Daphnia pulex: one gene and its partner. The main gene of each other region encodes a partner of the protein of the gene in region 2 in a complex. Links are inferred from orthologs where the notes say so. Each region holds a gene or a part of one and is shown on either strand. Other genes may lie near its edges.

Evidence for each region.
Region 1: DNA polymerase alpha catalytic subunit-like (region 2) and DNA primase large subunit-like share a complex: the UniProt entries of both Drosophila melanogaster proteins name them as parts of the alpha DNA polymerase complex. The link is inferred for Daphnia pulex from reciprocal best matches to the Drosophila melanogaster genes PolA1 and Prim2.

Annotation. Positions count from the first base shown.
Region 1 is NC_060018.1:6,169,790-6,174,849, forward strand, and holds DNA primase large subunit-like, read right to left. Parts: upstream 3,277-5,060; 5' UTR 3,118-3,276; coding exon 2,964-3,117; intron 2,899-2,963; coding exon 2,561-2,898; intron 2,490-2,560; coding exon 2,259-2,489; intron 2,189-2,258; coding exon 2,039-2,188; intron 1,966-2,038; coding exon 1,783-1,965; intron 1,714-1,782; coding exon 1,518-1,713; intron 1,453-1,517; coding exon 1,154-1,452; 3' UTR 742-1,153; downstream 1-741. Other genes in the region: b(0,+)-type amino acid transporter 1-like, read left to right, coding at 1-31, 114-181; fucose-1-phosphate guanylyltransferase-like, read left to right, coding at 3,982-4,042, 4,133-4,378, 4,462-4,656, 4,730-4,813, 4,887-5,021. UniProt on the Drosophila melanogaster protein: Regulatory subunit of the DNA primase complex and component of the DNA polymerase alpha complex (also known as the alpha DNA polymerase-primase complex) which play an essential role in the initiation of DNA synthesis.
Region 2 is NC_060022.1:1,987,184-1,992,201, reverse strand, and holds the start of DNA polymerase alpha catalytic subunit-like, read right to left. Parts: upstream 3,099-5,018; 5' UTR 2,905-3,098; coding exon 2,865-2,904; intron 2,800-2,864; coding exon 2,611-2,799; intron 2,547-2,610; coding exon 2,365-2,546; intron 2,288-2,364; coding exon 2,163-2,287; intron 2,087-2,162; coding exon 2,008-2,086; intron 1,950-2,007; coding exon 1,833-1,949; intron 1,746-1,832; coding exon 1,612-1,745; intron 1,542-1,611; coding exon 1,418-1,541; intron 1,361-1,417; coding exon 1,196-1,360; intron 1,088-1,195; coding exon 722-1,087; intron 652-721; coding exon 447-651; intron 384-446; coding exon 112-383; intron 52-111; coding exon 1-51. Other genes in the region: putative zinc finger protein 66, read left to right, coding at 3,420-4,019, 4,117-4,390, 4,458-4,540, 4,602-4,697, 4,765-4,841, 4,909-5,018. UniProt on the Drosophila melanogaster protein: Catalytic subunit of the DNA polymerase alpha complex (also known as the alpha DNA polymerase-primase complex) which plays an essential role in the initiation of DNA synthesis.

The DNA.
Region 1 (5,060 bases), on a different chromosome or scaffold from region 2:
GTTTATTATAAGAAAGTGTTGCCCGGAATGAGTAAGTGCTTTGACAATTGAAAATCTCTAAAAGGGAAAAAGGAAACACAATTAATTCACTGATCATTTGTAATTCTGTAAAGGTTATGTTACAACATTCTTGCAGTTATTGCTGGAAGTGGCTCCGTCAACGTCTATGGCGGAAGACTAACGTGTTACCGCAACGATCAAGTAAGCGATGACAAACCGAAAAATGTCCGTGTATAGGTCAACCACTTTAGGTGGCGGTATTATTACGTGTACATTATTGTTACTCCCGGCCATGTGTTAAAACCTTGTGTTGGTACGATGATTGCCATGCAATCTACATATTAAAAAATGGTCGTCTTTCCCTTCTCCTCAGTCATCCCTTTTTTCATAATTGGTATCATGCTGAAACGATGAGCTTGAGGAGATTTTACAATTTGATCGAAATTTACCAAAAGACACAAAGTTTGTATTGTTAATTTAGAATGTTTTTTTTTTTGCATATACACAAAAACCATAGTACTATTACTTTTCTAGATCGTTCAATTTCTCCCCAATGTGGCGAGATTATTTCAAAACAGGGATTCGTTAATTAGACTTTCTTAAAAGTTTTTATCCCGCAGCTTCCGTGTACTAAAAACATCAAAGTCACTGAATTGTAAACTTCAGCGTTTAGTGACTGTGAAATTTTGTACAGCATGCATACCGAAAAGTAAAATACACAAGTGCCAATCACGAAGTATGTCTCTCTCTATTATTCTATTGTTCCAAAAGTTATTTTTGACGATTAGGAAAAAGCACACCAACCTCAAAAAGTACTTTGAGCGGACGCAAGTTTCCCTTTCAAATAATGCACCAAAACTTTCTTTTCGGATGAAACTTTGAGTTTACAAAATTCAATTACGCAAAGTTTCAGGGATACATTTTAGATAAGAAATGATATACATCTGATGCCGTGGGAAAGATATTCAAGTTAAGTTCAAACGCGCCTTAACATACGATCTCTACGATTTTGTTACAAACTTCTAAAAGGCAAGCTTATTCAGTTGGGGAATCTTATTGATCAACCGAATGCAGTGCGCAATACTTCTAGCTAGATACAATTTATCGATAAAACCCTTTGTACGGCTTTCAAGTAAAAGTTGATTTAAACTATTTAGTTGAAATCATCATCCATATCAATTGCTGCTAAAACGGATTCGCTGAGAACCTCATTTTCATTTGTTTCAAGTTTCTCTACTTTAGCTGGAAGAGTAGCACGAATGGTCTGTACCTTATTCGCTCCCTTGATTTTCTCCTTCACTTCACCGTTGAGGATCTTTTGGCTTTCGATAAAATACTGGTTTGGGTGCTGGATACCACTATCAATCTCGGTGTTGTGCGTGGCTTCAAAGTACCGCTGGCAGGCAATCTGGTAATGATGGCGTGTCACTAGATCGACTATTTCTTGAATCGCTAGAAGGGCACCAAAACAAATTAAATTACGTGATCAAAGACATGCATATGAAATTAATTACTACCTGGCTGAGGAACACGATTCATTGTCATTTTCTGTCGAAGGACGGCAGCATCAAAGTGTCTGAACGGACAACCGTGATTCTCACCCGGACCTACGCTGGCAGTAATGATTTTGATGCAGCTTTGAGGTGCGTAATTGATTCTTTTTCCTTCCTTGCCGTAATTGTGGCGAATATTGTATGCGTATTGCTTTTCAAACTAAAGGAAATAGGGAAATGTAAGGAGAAGTTTTGATGAAACTTTGATCCTCGGTGGAGGTTTACCAACCTTATCCATATCCATATTTTTGGAGAACTCCTCCCTCCAAAACTTCAATGAATTTTCCAAGCTAAGTCCGATTCCTTTGACAAAAAGTCCATACTGCATACGTCCGCCGTGTTTTAAATGATGAGTAGAACGCAATGTCTCGTGTAAATGTCTCATACAGAGTGGGAAAGATTGTTTTGACAACTGCAAATCATACATTTTAATGATTTACTATTTTTGTTTTTATAAAGCAAGCACGGAAATTTGTTGGTCTTACCCCATCAATCATTTCTGGTGTTACAGCGGCACCAGAAGATTTATTTTGTAGAGAGTTAAAATCTTGACCGGTATATCGTTTATCAAAGTCATTCAGTAAGCGACGGATTCGATGATCGTCCTCTAGCTCTGGTAGTGAACGCATAGTAAGCTTCAATCCAATAAAAAAAATATCTTTAAATAAGTTATTCAGTGAATATTAAAAAATTATTTTCTTTTACCGCCATAGCAAGTGATAAATGAGAGCGGAACATAGCTGTGATTATGGAAACGAGGTCCTCGCTTGGAATGTATGCAAATCCGGCTTGCAAGTATACTTTGCGATGGCGAACTAAATCTAAAGCCTCTGTAAAGGGAACCTTGTAATATTCCACTGCATCAACTTTATTGGCATTAAATTGGGCAGCATGTATAAGTTTAGTCAATATCTTCTTTTTTTCTTCCTCTGGAATCTGTAAAATGTTTGGTGAAATATAATTAAATAAGTAATAATTTGGTGAATATTTGCAATATCTCTACATACGGGTAGAAAATTCATTTTGTTTTCTTTCATAAATGCCCTGATATCTTCTGAACTTTCCATCGAAAATCTAAAGCGGAAGAGATCAGTTTCCTGAGCAATGAACCAACGCCTGTACTCTTCAGTCCTGCAATATGCAAGTCTCATCAAGAAGTGAGAAACATGATCTTTCTGTCGTGTTTTTGAAATGATTTCATCCATCTTATCATCTTTGATACTTGAGCTCAGTTGATACCAACTGTTCAAGTTCTGCTTTTGTAAATCATTTTTCAGGGCAGTCTTCCAATCATCAGAGAATCTGGCATTTTTACTCAGATTGACACGCTCTATTGTCCTAAGAACTGTTGATAAAAATTTGAAGTAATTACGGAGGTAATTAATAAGAAGTTATGACCAATTATTATACCTTTGAGACGTTCGACAGCCCAATCTTCAAGTTCTTGCAAACCGATGGTTTCACTGGGAGGTACGGAATATAGTTGCAGAGAATGAGGATATTCACTTCTTAGCTTCATAGAATTTTTTATAGTTCGCCGAACTGTGTTGCGTTGAAATTCCATTTTTAAAAGTAACTATTTCCCTCGGAATTTATTCAACAAAATTTTTTTTCTACCAAGTTTACTGCGCGGTTAACACTTAACATAAAGCAGAGTAGCAGACGGTAAATGAAACAACAAAAGATCTCTTTTCGCGCTCAAACTAAAGCAACGGTGATGCCAGATATAAAATTGGCGAAAAAAAAAGGATTCCAAATTGATTGCAAGTTGCATGCAAATGCAACCGCTCTAAAATAAATTCGAAGACTTGCGAACTTGCTAGATACAAATCATGCATATTAAATAGCTTTAAAGTTATTCAAAGTTTTTATTAATTAGAATTTTGCAAGGATTGCAGGAAATCTAATCTTTGCCTCACCCAATTCATTGTCTCACGCAGCTGCGGGCTTGCGACGACTGTAATTAAATTTTGGACCATAAATAATTAAGTGCGAATGCCTCTATGAAAATGAAAGAGTTCGCTAATTGCAGTATGTCCATGGTATGTCTATAAGAGTTCGTTGTTTTGCAATTCAAACTAACCACACGGGACACGAGACAGACGACACATTACCTGTGATATGAAAATGATTACTACTTTTCGCTTTTTTCGTCAAAAATTAAAACATATTTAATTCCAGAAATCTGTATCAGTAAATAACTTCGTTTCCCAAAGGTTTAGGCTCAGAATCATATCCGAAGTCCGATAAATTACCCGTGTTATCTTTCTCTAACACCCTCCAGGGGTCTCTGAATTCCCATGTTTTGAATACGTCAATAAACATCTGTGTTTTTACCTGAAATATGAAATTTGGACTGTTTAAAGTGTTTACGTGGCAAAGTTACTAAGCCTACGTCGTCCTGGAAAATGCTACAACAGTCACAAAAATGGAACGAATCCAGAAGTACATGGTTCAGTTAGCGGAAAACTTTAACAAAACATCTTTAGGTTAGTTTTTAACAAGTAAAAACTTCATCCATCACACAAATTATCACAAGTCAGTGAGATTGTTTGACATTTTACCTTTTATCTGTTTAGACGATGGTTTTTGGGATTGTGTAGTCATATCTGCCGGAGATGAAGAACAAAAAGAATGTTTCAAACAGCAAATTGATGAGAAACTGGAAAATGGAGAAATACCAAGGGCTACTAAATATTTAGTCATTGCTGATTGTCCTGGATATGCTTTGGGGTCAGGTGGATCTACCTTTCATATTCTGAAACATTTAAAAAAACTTTTTGCCAATGATCTATTTGAGATGAAAATTTGGATTAGTCATGCTGGTAGGAATTGATGTTATAGGCCTACTTACATGTTTCAGTTAATACTATTTTTTTTATTTCTTTAAAAAATATTTTTATTTTAGGGGGATCTAGTAAAAGATTACCAAATTTAAGCTGTACTGGAAAGTTATTTTGTCCATTGCCACTAGAAGTTGAAGGAAAAGCAATAACACTTCTAAATTTAAAATTTATTATTACTTCACCTTTTCTTAAACTGATGAAAAATGGAGGAATATTTATTTGTGCTTCTGATGATATAGAAACTTTTTGTTTAGAAGGTAATTGTTTAATAATTCTTCTTTCTTTTTTTCATTTGTCCTTTTTGGTATTACATAATAATTTATCTCTCAGGTCTTGAAAGTCTTGAAGAAAAGTTTAACCAACTAGATGAAGATGGAATTGTAGCCATTGGTCATCCATCCACTATTGCAATAGGTAGGAGCTCCTAGATCATAATTTAGAAATTATTCAAAAAAATTAAAATTAGTATTTCCATTCTGAAAATTAGGAAATACGCATGGTGTGTACGTGCTTCCAGAGTGGTGTAGAAATGAGGAGAATTGTAGGCTAAGCCCTTGCCTTGAAGTTTTACAGAAACCGAATTATGTCACTATGGAAACAAAAAAGGCTTTATTTAAATTTGGTGAGAATTTAAGTCAGATTCAAGTTGCGCTTTATCGCG
Region 2 (5,018 bases):
CACATCACACACCAAACGCCCACTCATGACAAGATGACTGCGACTGACACCCTTTAAATTTTTTTATTATTATTATTCTTACTTGAGTGTTAATCTAATGTCTAAGCAAACCTTAGACATAGGCATATTGGTGCGACGTAGTCGGCCCAGACGAGACCACTGATCTACTTTGTTCTGGGTGAAACGATGGAGAAGTATGTCCAAGTCGTAGGAAGCTACATCGTGCCCGACAATTACATCGGGGTCGATTTTGTTAATTTTGGCCAGAAAAAGATTAAGCAGGGCTCGTTCGTTCTCGGCTAGTTCTATTTTCGTTAGTTTTGTCGTTTTCATGGTATCGCGATGATCTAGTGGCCAAGGTTCTTCAGATGGACGGCCTACAACTACGAAAATTGATTTTTTTAAACATGTATCTTCATTCAATCGTTTCCATAATTGTAGCTTACGACAAAAATGCTGTTGAAACGGAGGTTGAGGAGCAGCACGGTCTACATGAAATTCGTTTTGTATCAAACAACTGATGGCGACAATTTCCACTTGCTGAGTGCGATTGTTGACGACAGTGCGCAAATTAAGCGCCATTACAGCCAATGGAGGCGGCGCTTCTCTTTTATCATCTAACTCAATTTGATCCATGTTAGAAACAAACGCCTGAATACAAAATAAAAATCATATTAATTAATTTTCGATTTTGATTTCGTTAAAAAAATATTTTCTATACCTCCACTTTGCACCAGCTCACATGCGGGTTGGCCTTCTGGGGGTTCTTGATGTTTAGCCAACAAGGCCCTTTAACGCGTTTTTCCAACAAAAAGTTTTCCAATGCCGAAGTATTGGCTCCAAAGACGTGGCTGAATGTTGCACCTTTCAAATTCGTAGGCAAGGAATGTTCAGCAGAGTATTTCACTTCAAGATATTCGCTCTCGCGAGGAATGCTCGGTGGTTCGAATCCATATTTTTTCAATACACGCCGTGATTTGAACTGCAAAATTTTGTAGCGATCTGCTACCCGCGTATTAAATTCCTCGTATACATCCATAAAATTAACCGGAGTTCCCGTGTCCTGGCCAGTACGCTGATCGACAACCTGATGAAAAAGGAAAGCGACAAATGTTCCGTACATGAATTTATACAAATGATATTGGCAAGTTGAGTTTTTGCCAAAAGTTTTCAGGTTAGATAAAGATGTGTATACCGTATCACGTGGAAGTACATATATATGCTTCTCGATATTTTTTACGGAAACGCAGCAACTGACATACGCTTTAGCCGACTCTATGAAAATTTTCCCAAAAAGAAACACGGTGCCAGGTTGCATATACGGATCTTCGTAAGCATCGAACCAGTACATGCGCAAAAACTATTTAACATAATTGTTAGTTGAAACTGCAAAATAACAGTCAAGTATTTATAGAACCTGTTCTCCATCTTCCCCTTGAGTCAAGGGAAGCTCATTACTCCCTAAATCCAAAACAGCTACACTCTGGTTAACGTCAACGTTATTTTTAATGGTTTCCCATCCCGAAGTAAGATCGAATTCGCTAAAAATACATCAGCAAGTAGAAAGAATGTATCTAAAATAAATATTAGATTGGCGGAAATGCGACAAACCTGATGGTAGGAGTTTGCTTCAGTTCTTGAAGATCAATACTTTCTTCACAGGGAGTATAAGATGTCGTAATTGAGGCTTCACTTGATTGCGTATTGATTTCTGGTTGCGAATCGAACTGGTCGATGTCCATAGGCTGGCAGCACATAAAAGTGAAGGTAGTATGGAACGGTTTATTATTAGTATTAAATAGATTAGAAAAGAAATAAAATAATATACGTACTCCATCCATTATAAAAGGATTATCATCGCATAATGAATTTGAATCTTCGATTGATGCACAGTCGTAGGTATTGTCTTCTACATTGGATGCCCCTCTGCCAAAAGGCAGACGTTTGGGCTGCAGGGAATAGGACGGAGTTTACAGGGGAAAATTAAAGAAAAAATTTTTCTGATACCTCTGCTTTCAATAGCCTCGATGCCACTGAAGTGCTGGTTATCCGTGGGATCGAAGTTGGTGTACGACTTATCAACGATCTAATCATTTCAAAAAAATTTAATCAAAACACAGAATCAAAACATGATCTAATTTAGTTCTAATAGTTTTTGGTACCCAGAAGTAATGGTCTTCTTTTTAAGAGTGGAAACTGATTGCCTCAAGGGAGCATTTGAAGGGGTGGAATTCAGTTCTTGCATGATGTCTCCTAAAATGTCATCATCTTTAGTTTTGGCATCTTTCTAAAAAGTGAAATCAGTAATAAAAGTAATAAACCTTTGAAATTCCATAAAACATTCATATAAGTGCTAAAACAGACCTCTTTGTTTTTAGAGGACATGCCAATTAGCATATTTTTAATGTTATTTTTTTTTCCAGGAACTCCTTTTGACAAGTCCTTCTTCTTATGACCCCTGGCTGCTCCTTTGGCTTGGGCCATATTATCATCATCCAGATCATCATCAAACACTTCCCTACCATCTTCAACATATCCACTTCCATCTGATTTTTAAAATATTTTGTGAACAAGGCATTTTATAATTTAATTTTGGCTTTACTCTATTACCATCATCAATAATCCAATCATCTTCTTGTCGTCTTTGAACTCGTTTGGAGTACTCTCTTTCATCAACCTCTTCATAAACATTATCAACTTCCGTCAAGGTAACTTTGTTTTTAGTACCCTTTAAGTCTTTTAGCTTTTGAAAGGCTGCAAATTTCCCTTCACGGTCTTGTTTAGTTCTCCGTGTACGACCTGAAAATCAATCAGGTGGTAAATACAAATAACACGAAAATGAATCAGATGTAAAGGTAACTCACCACTTTCCTTTTCTTGACTAATTTCCTTGTCATCAGCCATGACAATGGTTTAAAAATAACACAAAATAAAAAAACACTCAATAAATGACGAGTAAAATTTCTAATGCAGGTCTTGAAAATTTTGAAACGATCAGGAAAGACGAAAATCAACCGATAAAAGCTATAATGCAGGAACACTGGACAAAAGGCACAGTTGTCTACACATAAATGGCCGAATTAGTCTTTCAGCTCTTTCCCGCGTAATTCTCTAATGGCGCGGCGTTGCCGAATAAAAATTGCTGGCTCACAATTCGAAGTTTACAAATGTTATAAACTTATAAAGATAATTAGTAACTGTGTTTGAATTACATTTTTGTTAAAGTTATAAATCAAAAGTATGATGTAATCTGTAAATCAAAAATCAAAAATTAATTATTTTTACATAGTACAAAGTCATCTATTGAGTAATGAATGAAACAGCTGTTGGCTACCAACTTTGGAAGAAAAATCCAAAGCTAAGCCAAAATAAACAGTGTCGTAATTTGTAATAGGGGACAAAATCTTCCATCAATCAAGATGGGAAGTTGTGAGGGATTAGAGATTCTCGGTGTTTTGAAAACAGCACAAGAAGGTAAACAAATGGTTTTGCAGCTAAAACCAAGTATTGAAACCACTTGGGAACACTGTGGATTTTGCGACTTCAAACTGGATTCTGATATAGATAAACTACAATCATCGAGAGAAACTGAACACTCGCATGCAATACAGGGAGTATTTTCTTTCATTCCAAGCAAAAATCAATGGACTCTCACTTTTTCCAATTGTGATAAAGAGGAACAACATCAACATGTAGGAAAACCTTCACCAACATGTGAAGTAATCAAGAATGACATCACAATAAACAGGCAAAAGAATTTACAACTGCAGTATGAAGTAGATGGGAAGGTATTTGAATTAAGAAGCACATTCTCAGCTAAAAAGCACAGAAATGTGGAGCCATCCAATAACAATTTTGCCACTTCAAACAAGTCAATAACACAGCCAACCAAAGCAATTGAATTTGTCATTGAAAACAAGAAATACTCTACTTCGTCTGTTAATACCAAGGCATTTGAAGAAGCAGTTGTTGTTGAGGAAGAAAGATCTACCCTTGAAGCCTCACTGGAACTTCTTCAGGTTGGAGTGAATTGAATTCCTTTACCTCCACAAATTTTATTCAATATAAAGATTTCAACTTACAAAAAATTTAAAAATTTAATTTTTAAAAATATAGGTAAAACTAATGGACAAGTGTATTGTTCCAGACCAAATTGGTTGTGGACCAGATACTTCCACCTTTTTGCAAAATATGAGAGAATTGGCAAAACTTCTAACTCCCTCTGGTCAGAACCCATTTAAGTGTGATCAATGTGAAGAGGAAATGACCTCCTACTTCCCATATGTCGAACATGTTTTTAAGCACTTCGGAACTCGACCTTACATCTGTAACGTGTGTCAAGCATCTTTTCAGACAAGGGCTGTTATGAGACATCACCTTGATATGCACGGTAATTTCCATCTTGCATTACTAAAATAATTCATATTTGCTCATAAAGTAATAACCAAATTTTTTAGGCGGGAAAGCGCCTTTTGAGTGCGAGTTTTGCGGGAAGAAATTTCGGAATTCTTGTCACATGAAACAACACCGAATGCGTCACGTAAATAATAAAGTATTAATAAATTATTGCGACGATAAATAATACTTAATTATTAATTCAGACCGGAGAACGACCTCACAATTGCCCCTACTGTGAAAAGACGTTCGCTCACAAAAACGTGCTAAAGATACATTTACAAGTGCATACTGGGGAGAAGGTTGTTTGGTTACATCAATAACTTTTTGTGTTAAAAATTTAACTAAATTTGTTTGATTATTCAATAGCCCTGTTGTTGTGATCTATGTGGAAAGCTGTTTCGTGAACCGCATCGTTTAGCGTGCCATTTAGCTACACATTATCGGTATGTGTTAAAACATTTGCATTACCTACAGTATACTGGTGAGAGGTAAACATCATTATTTAAACAGCTCCTCGAAGTCACTAGACTGTTCGGCTTGTGGCAAAAGTTTCAAAACTAGTGGAATGTTAAAACTGCATGAAGCCAAGCGTTGCAACAATAAGCTTACTACAGATTTGG